2 linked regions of the Saccharomyces cerevisiae S288C genome follow. Changing the gene in region 2 together with the main gene of any one other region gives a genetic interaction. Each region holds a gene or a part of one and is shown on either strand. Other genes may lie near its edges.

The links.
Region 1: mutations in DAL5 (region 2) and WAR1 together harm fitness more than expected from each alone (negative genetic interaction), as found in Saccharomyces cerevisiae (one large-scale study listed by BioGRID).

Annotation. Positions count from the first base shown.
Region 1 is NC_001145.3:112,013-116,988, forward strand, and holds WAR1 (War1p), read right to left. Parts: upstream 3,336-4,976; coding exon 501-3,335; downstream 1-500. Other genes in the region: TRAPP subunit BET5, read left to right, coding at 1-332; hydroxymethylglutaryl-CoA reductase (NADPH) HMG1, read right to left, coding at 3,722-4,976. UniProt on the Saccharomyces cerevisiae protein: transcription factor which binds to a weak acid response element (WARE) to mediate stress induction of PDR12 and FUN34, encoding an acid transporter and a putative ammonia transporter, respectively.
Region 2 is NC_001142.9:717,811-722,067, forward strand, and holds DAL5 (allantoate permease), read left to right. Parts: upstream 1-1,855; coding exon 1,856-3,487; downstream 3,488-4,257. UniProt on the Saccharomyces cerevisiae protein: Component of the allantoate transport system.

The sequences.
Region 1 (4,976 bases), on a different chromosome or scaffold from region 2:
CGTTACGCTCCATTACACAAAAGCTCTCCAAAGGGTCTGTTAAAAATGACATACGGAGTATATCTACAGGAAAGTATAGAGTCCACACATACTGTACAGCTTCAGGGCTATGGTTTGTTCTATTGTCCGACTTTAAACAGCAGTCTTACACTCAGGTTTTACAGTATATTTACAGCCATATTTATGTCAAATACGTGAGCAACAACTTATTATCACCGTACGATTTCGCTGAAAACGAAAATGAAATGAGAGGTCAAGGGACAAGAAAGATCACCAATAGAAACTTTATATCCGTTCTCGAGTCATTTCTAGCACCAATGGTTAATCAGTGAGCACGAACCATGAGCAGAAGAAAAACCTAAAATAAATAGAAGCGATGAATTGAATTGCATTCATCGTATATATACCTAAGGATAAATTAATTAGTTTTACATATTTTAAACTTTGTTTGTTAATACAAACTCGGATCTGGTTTGGGTCATAATTTTTGTTGTGGGGGCTCAAATATCATTCATGAAAAGGTCTGTCCAAAACTCGTCATTTAATGAATTAACGCCCCATGCTAAGGAGTTTATATCCGTCAAATAATCGTTCAAGTTGTCTACCGATGAACTAGGTGATGGTTTTATATTAGTTGAGTCAGCAGAGTTAGTCACATCATTAGAAATAAATGGTGGTGGTAATAGAGTTGTGCCTGTCATACTCTCTCGGTGTTCATGTGGGGATTCATTCATATATGAAGTACTGTTAATATTCAGGTTCATTGCGGCAGTATCGTCACGAACTCTTGAGTATACTGGCAGCATTTCATCAGGTACAGCGGTTATGTTTTGGTTTGTATTATTGTCGATAATTGGATCTTCTTCTGTTGGCATCTTTTGTGACTCGGTTACATATGCATTTATTGGCTTCGTACCATCGTGGCCATTGCTTACTTCGTCTATGACCTGCTTTTCCTTTAGTTTCTCCCTTTCTGCATTGTAGCGATCAGCAACATCAATAACTTTGTTTGCGTAGGTTTGACAAAATAACGCAATAACATACCTAAATTTGTAAAGAGAGTTGTTGAAGGGATACAGCTCTGATGTTTTTTCTAAAAGATTGTTTACCCCTATTACCAAGGCAATAGCATCATCTGTAAGGGGCATTAAATCGTGAAACGAAGGAATAGCGACTACGGAATAGCGCAGCTTTAATAAGAGCATACCAACGGTATATATGATCCTGGAAGTATGAAATAAAGGTAATGAGGTAATTAAAATTGGCTCCAACTTGGAAAATTCCTCAAGGGCAGATTTACAGCAATGATAGCATTTAACAAAATCATCCATTATTTCTCTGGGCAATTCGACTTTTTCGTTTATGGTATGCGACATTTCCCCGATGAATACTGCAAGTTTATACTGGTATAAATAAGCTTCTACAGAGTAATAAAATGCAATCACTCTTGGCCTGTTTCTGTCAAGTTTAGTGAAAATCTCTTGCAATTGCTTGTGGTATTTTTCCATTAGTTTATTAAGATACTTTTTAGTAAAAATAGGATCATCAAACTCGTCATCATTTAGATCTCTCTCATGTAGGTGTGTGTGAATATTTTCCAAGACGTGGTTCATTTTAGCAAATTGAACCAAGATGGGATCATCAGCTGAATCAAGTAATAGTTTATCGTTGTCATAATGTCGCGATTTTTTCGTCTCTTTAACTAAATCCTCGCAGGCCTTTTCCGTGACGTGACTCCAACGAGCTTGTATTGATTGACGTAGAAAAATTGAAATATTGAGTGCGGAAATGTATACCAATAAAGTTAAACTGGCGCCATTACTGTAAAGTTCCAAAGGTGACTTGAATCTCTTTGGATCCTCGTCACTAAACATACCAAAGGATCGATTGACATAGGTAGGCCCCAAATCTCTAGTTAAACAGCAACAGATGTAATTAAATATATGGTATCTCGTTTTACTTGACCATTCAAAAAAATTATACCATAGACATAATGTAGACAGTGATTCGATGATTTCGATAGATTTATTATTAGCCTTGAAAATCTGATTTGTAATTAAGTTTAGTACAAAACTATCAAGCTTCATAATAGTTCCTCTGGTGGTTTGTTTGGGTGTTAGTACAATTGAAACACATGACATAATGACGGAGAATAAAATAGGTTTCTTCTTTCTTAATTCATCGACACTAACATTCTCTTCGACCTTTATGAATGGTAATTTTGACAAATATGAAATCTCGGTTTTATAAAGATGTAAGCGAAGCGTCGCTTCTTCATGAGATATGATTCCTACTGATACAGGATCTGCAATGGTTGGCAAAAACATGCTCTTTTCAACAAGGTCATTCCACTGCTTTGACCAAGTGTCAAGCTTCATCGAAATATCTCTAATTTTACCTTTTTGAGAAATAATCAGTGATTGTAGCTGCTTCCTGAACGACCGTGTCATATGTCTAGAGTATGATTTCTTTTGTCTTTTCACTTTGACGTTCTGTGTTTCCTCATCACCCACAATTTTAGGCCTATGTTTGAACAGTGCCTCGCTGTTAATGCTGGTAGGCGCAGATGAAATCGGTACGGGGGAGTTGTAGGTACTGTATATAACTGGCGCATCACTAATATTAGTATGCTCATCGTTAGATGCTAAAACTGCTGGATTTGTGGGCACACTGCCATTGGATTTTGTATGATTATTGGTGGTTATCTCTCCGGTAGATGTGGTTTCGGCCTCTCTTGCTCCATATGAGGGTGGTTGGCTTAAAGTTGACCAAAGATCGGATAAACTTTGTTGAAGTCCAGGTAAGACTGTCCGAGAGTTTGGAAATTGTTTAGCGTTTGGGTCAGAAGGGAAACTGGCGAGGTAAGATGTACCATCCTTCAAGCTAGATTCTTCAGAATCTGTTGGGCCTTTGCTTTTAGTAGAGACATTCACCATCGGCGATTCAAAAGGTGTGGGTGACCTTGATCTAGGCTTTCTCTTCCTTGTCCTTTTTGAAAGATCAAACTTGCACAGCTTCTTGTGTTTCAGACACCTTCGACAAGGTTTCCTATAAATATCGTTAACATCAGAAGGCTCACATTTTTGCTTCAAGGAATGGCAGCATACACAAGCAAATGAGTTTCTTTTGGTCTTCCCCTTTTCAGTAGTCTCTAGTTTTGTAGGATACGAAAGCCTAGGGTCATCTTTGGAGCATCCTTCTATAATAGTTTGTGTGGCCTTATCTATGCATGGGACATCCGCCTTCGGCAAAGAAACTTTTTGGTCGGTCTTTGAATTATCATTATTGATTTCTTTCCCGACGGCAACGCCAGTTATTGCAATCTGCGTGTCCATGTTGTAATTCAACCCTGAAGATCTTCCCGATCACAGTCAATACACACTAGATATTAATGTATACTGTATGAAAAAATTGACTTTCCGCTTCATTGCTCCTACATTTATCGGATGGCGCACATAGCTAAAAAAGGAAGATTTTCACTCATAAGGGAAAGGAACCGCATGACTCAAGAGAAGCATGTGGTTTTTGAGTTTTTTTCGTTGAATTTTCAGGTAAAGCTCAATAGTTATGACAATTACAACAACAGAATTCTTTCTATATATGCACGAACTTGTAATATGGAAGAAATTATGACGTACAAACTATAAAGTAAATATTTTACGTAACACATGGTGCTGTTGTGCTTCTTTTTCAAGAGAATACCAATGACGTATGACTAAGTTTAGGATTTAATGCAGGTGACGGACCCATCTTTCAAACGATTTATATCAGTGGCGTCCAAATTGTTAGGTTTTGTTGGTTCAGCAGGTTTCCTGTTGTGGGTCATATGACTTTGAACCAAATGGCCGGCTGCTAGGGCAGCACATAAGGATAATTCACCTGCCAAGACGGCACAGGCAACTATTCTTGCTAATTGACGTGCGTTGGTACCAGGAGCGGTAGCATGCGGGCCTCTTACACCTAATAAGTCCAACATGGCACCTTGTGGTTCTAGAACAGTACCACCACCGATGGTACCTACTTCGATGGATGGCATGGATACGGAAATTCTCAAATCACCGTCCACTTCTTTCATCAATGTTATACAGTTGGAACTTTCAACATTTTGTGCAGGATCTTGTCCTAATGCCAAGAAAACAGCTGTCACTAAATTAGCTGCATGTGCGTTAAATCCACCAACAGACCCAGCCATTGCAGATCCAACCAAATTCTTAGCAATGTTCAACTCAACCAATGCGGAAACATCACTTTTTAACACTTTTCTGACAACATCACCAGGAATAGTAGCTTCTGCGACGACACTCTTACCACGACCTTCGATCCAGTTGATGGCAGCTGGTTTTTTGTCGGTACAGTAGTTACCAGAAACGGAGACAACCTCCATATCTTCCCAGCCATACTCTTCTACCATTTGCTTTAATGAGTATTCGACACCTTTAGAAATCATATTCATACCCATTGCGTCACCAGTAGTTGTTCTAAATCTCATGAAGAGTAAATCTCCTGCTAGACAAGTTTGAATATGTTGCAGACGTGCAAATCTTGATGTAGAGTTAAAAGCTTTTTTAATTGCGTTTTGTCCCTCTTCTGAGTCTAACCATATCTTACAGGCACCAGATCTTTTCAAAGTTGGGAAACGGACTACTGGGCCTCTTGTCATACCATCCTTAGTTAAAACAGTTGTTGCACCACCGCCAGCATTGATTGCCTTACAGCCACGCATGGCAGAAGCTACCAAACAACCCTCTGTAGTTGCCATTGGTATATGATAAGATGTACCATCGATAACCAAGGGGCCTATAACACCAACGGGCAAAGGCATGTAACCTATAACATTTTCACAACAAGCGCCAAATACGCGGTCGTAGTCATAATTTTTATATGGTAAACGATCAGATGCTAATACAGGAGCTTCTGCCAAAATTGAAAGAGCCTTCCTACGTACCGCAACCGCTCTCGTAGTATCACCTAATTTT
Region 2 (4,257 bases):
TGACAGCGCTGCGTAAAACATCAGAGACGTATGTAATCTTCTTGTCTAATCCATTATTGTCAATAACTCAAGCTATATTTACATCTTTAGCGAAGTCAGAAACTTATTGTCATCCTTTCAAGCCTCGCCGTTGACATCCGCTGTCAGCATCACCCTCACCTAAAGTGTTATTACACGAAGAACTGATTAAATACGCCGAGTTTGGGATGACCTGTTCTTACCCGTTCATTCCTTTTTATGGCACACTACGGTTAGTATACGGCGTTGGCCGTGTGATAGGGAAAAATAGGGTAGGTAATAGAGAACAATTGATGAGTTTTATGTAATTGTATTCGCGCAAAAATAAAAGAATATCAACAAAAAATTTTGATTCGTTTACTTCATAAAAAAAAATCCTAAAATTTATGAAAATGATTAAAAAAAGACATCCACTTCCCCATAGTGCTAAATTGGTATGGACGTTAAATAGCTTTTATCGTCGTTGGTTTTCAGACAAATGTGTAGCACCCTAAGTGTGAGATATCATATATTTCAGAGAATATAGCACCAAGTATCGTTATGCGTTCTGGTCCGTACCTGAGAGCTGCTCATAAGAATAGGCAAAAGCAAGAAAGAGTGTTCTGTCAGGAATTTTCAAACTATTTACAAGCTAGGAAGGCTATACGTAGTAAATAACAGCCACGATTCGACGTGGATAAACAAACATCTACGAAATCCCATTTTGGCATGAAAAAGTGGAGCAAGAAAGACTTGAGGTATGAAATACTTGCAATCTTTCACATCAACACTACTTTCAAGATGTTATTGCAAACAGAAAGTGCGATTCTCTTTCTTTCATCCGGGCGTTACAGATGACCATATCTTCAGTGAGGATAACGAAAGATAAAGAGTGCTGGCTCACATTAATGGAAAAAGAAATCTACCCGCTAATTGTGATGGCTCAGAGTTTCTTCTTATGATAAGGATGTTAGTTTATATCTTGACATGTGTGTTTCTATTGTACACCGTAATAGCAGATTAGATAAACGAGAGGTCATTCGTAAGGATGAAAAAATGAACATCTGTTTAACTTTCAAGCTTTCTACCATATAGCCGAGATGAGCAAATACATTAAAACATCAAAAAGTGGTGCTTGAATGCTTATTTTATGACGCAAAGCAGATGTAATGCATCCCGAGTAAAACAGAATACTTAATTTGACTTCAGCAAAATAACTACCCAGAATGAACACCGAATTTGACATTGATAACAAGACAATCTAGGAATACTTTTACATCAGCACAATATCCATGGTGGATCCCGGCGGATTTTTCTTTCTTATTGCACCTTAATCAGGTTTACAGCCTATGACTGACTCTGGAGTGTCCTTTCCCAGTATCTGATTGTTTCCGCAACATCTATGCATATCAGAGAAGCGTTCTCATCAGTCACTTGACAAATGCTCGAGGAGCTATCATTTGCTGATAAGGTGCTACAGCGCGCTCCTGCCGCACGCTTTGTTCCTTTTCGATAAGAGTCCCTCGCGTTAGTCTGAGTGAAGTGCGGAATTCAGCAAACGAATAACAATCGACCTTATGATCATGTGGATTATCGGGGCAAAAGATTTGGCCAAGATGTCAGAGAACGTTATCACCAATCACTCACACAATTAAGTGGTAGTGTAACTCCGAAGATACGGCTAATACTTATCATTATCTGGTTTTCCGAATATACAGATTGGATGAAGTAATATATGTATATAAATGGACCAAGGAAACATCAAATTAGGAGATCATGAGGGAAAGGTTTAACATAACAACATTGAAGAAAACAACAAAACAAGGATAATCAAATAGTGTAAAAAAAAAAATTCAAGATGTCAGCGGATGCTAGTACAAATTCGAATGCTTCCCTAGACGAAAAAAATTTAAACATCACTTCAGAAGCTGAAATCAAGAATGAAGACGTAACCGCGGAGCCAGTTCTAAGCACGGTACTATCACCCAACGGTAAAATTGTCTACATCAGTGACAAGGTTGATGAGGCCATGAAGTTGGCTGAAGAAGCCAAAGAAATCGAAGTGACACCAGAAGAAGATAGAAAACTTCGTTGGAAGATCGACTATTGTATGTTTCCTTTGATGTGTATATTGTATGCTGTTCAATTTATGGACAAGATTTCCACTAGTTCAGCGGCGGTCATGGGATTAAGAACTGACTTGAAAATGCATGGTGACCAGTATTCATGGGTTACTTCCGCCTTTTATTTCGGCTATCTATTTATGAACCTAGGCCCGGTACAGTTCATTTTCCAAAGGACCAGTCACATGTCAAAAATGCTTGCGGTTTTTATTGTCATATGGGGAATGTTATTAGCTTTACATGCAGCTCCAACAGTTAAGTATCCTTCTTTCATTGTTTTGAGAGTACTTTTAGGTTGCGCAGAAAGTGTTGTCACACCTTGCTTTACCATTATCACTGCTCAATACTGGAAGACAGAGGAACAATTCACAAGAGTATCAATTTGGTTTGGTATGAACGGTCTTGGCTCCATCCTGATCAACGCAATTGCGTACGGTGTTTACATTCACCAGGATTCTTATGCTATTAAAGGCTGGAGAACCTTATTTGTCATTACTGGTGTGATAACAATCTTCATTGGTATCTTGATATTCCTGTGGATCCCTGACGATCCATCAAAAGCAAGGTTTTTATCTAAAAGAGAGAAATTAATGGTTGTCCAAAGAATTAGGTCTAACCAACAAGGGTTCGGTAATCACGAGATCAAAAAATACCAAATTATAGAGGCGTTGAAGGATGTTAGGACGTGGTTATATTTCCTCTTTACTGTGAGCTCTAATATTCCTAATGGTGGTATTTCAAGTTTTATGAGTATTCTATTGAATAGTGATTTTGGATATTCATCAAAGGAAACCCTATTAATGGGTTTACCTACAGGTGCTGTTGAATTGGTAGGTTGTCCACTTTTTGGTATTCTAGCAGTTTATGCAGCCAATAAGAAGATACCATTTTGGAAATATAAGTTGAGTTGGGCTATTTTTGCAGCTGTCTTAGCATTGATTGCTAGCTGCATGTTAGGGTTTGCAACAAACTCCAAAAAAGCAAGACTGGCTGGTGCTTACCTGTGGTACATCTCGCCCGTCTCATTTATTTGCGTACTTTCCAATATCAGTGCGAATTCCTCGGGATATAGTAAAAAATGGACTGTATCTTCAATAAACTTAGTAGCATATGCTGCAGCTAACTTGGCAGGACCACAAACCTTTATTGCTAAGCAGGCTCCTAAATATCATGGCGCTAAGGTCGCTATGGTCGTATGTTATGCTGTTATGATCGTGCTTCTATCTATACTGCTCATCGTCAATTTAAGGGAAAACAAGAGACGTGATAAGATAGCTGCCGAGAGAGGGTTCCCTGAAGAAACAGAGAATTTAGAGTTTTCTGATTTGACTGATTTTGAAAATCCAAATTTCAGATACACTTTATGAAATAGTGGTGAGATACACTGACATTATTGTTATCAGAGAAGAATATATAAAACTAAAATACTTAATATCAAAATAAGGAATTTTTTATCAAAGTAGAATTTCTGTAAGCTACATTCTCTTGGTGTAGAAGATTTCTCGACTGATGTAAAGGACAAGTCGACTTGTCCTGCCTCATACATACTTGACGATGAAGAGCAAGATACTGAGCACGTGAATCGAGGAACAGGTAAGGATACCTCGAGAAATGAAAAAAAAAAGTTGATCAGCCGTACTTGAAAATTAAATTTGGCGGTGAGAAAGACAATATCGTAATGAAAATGATTCTGACGACCCTTTGATAGTGGCAATGATCAAAAAGAAAAAAAAAAGATAAGACGGTAGTGTGAAGATGACATATAGCGCTACTCTATACTCGTCCAACTTCGAAAATAATATGTGGTCGTTGGTACGTTCAGATAAGAGAATACATCTCGCGCGTACGCATAATTGTGGTCTAAAAAACCGCTGAAATTTTCTCAATACTGAATAGAATCACGCTACTACGACAAGACTCGGTTACTGTGCCTAAAATAATCCTGTGATAAACGAGTTATGTTAAACGCAGTACAGGGGTTAAAGGGCATTGAGTTTTTGTGAGTGGAAATGCCCCCGTTATAGCTTCCAGTTTAATTACAAATTATCAATTTAAGCAAATATAACTGGAGGATTGGGGAGGCGACTAAAAATGGCTACCACGCTATTAGACATACAACATTGAGTATTTTATGTAA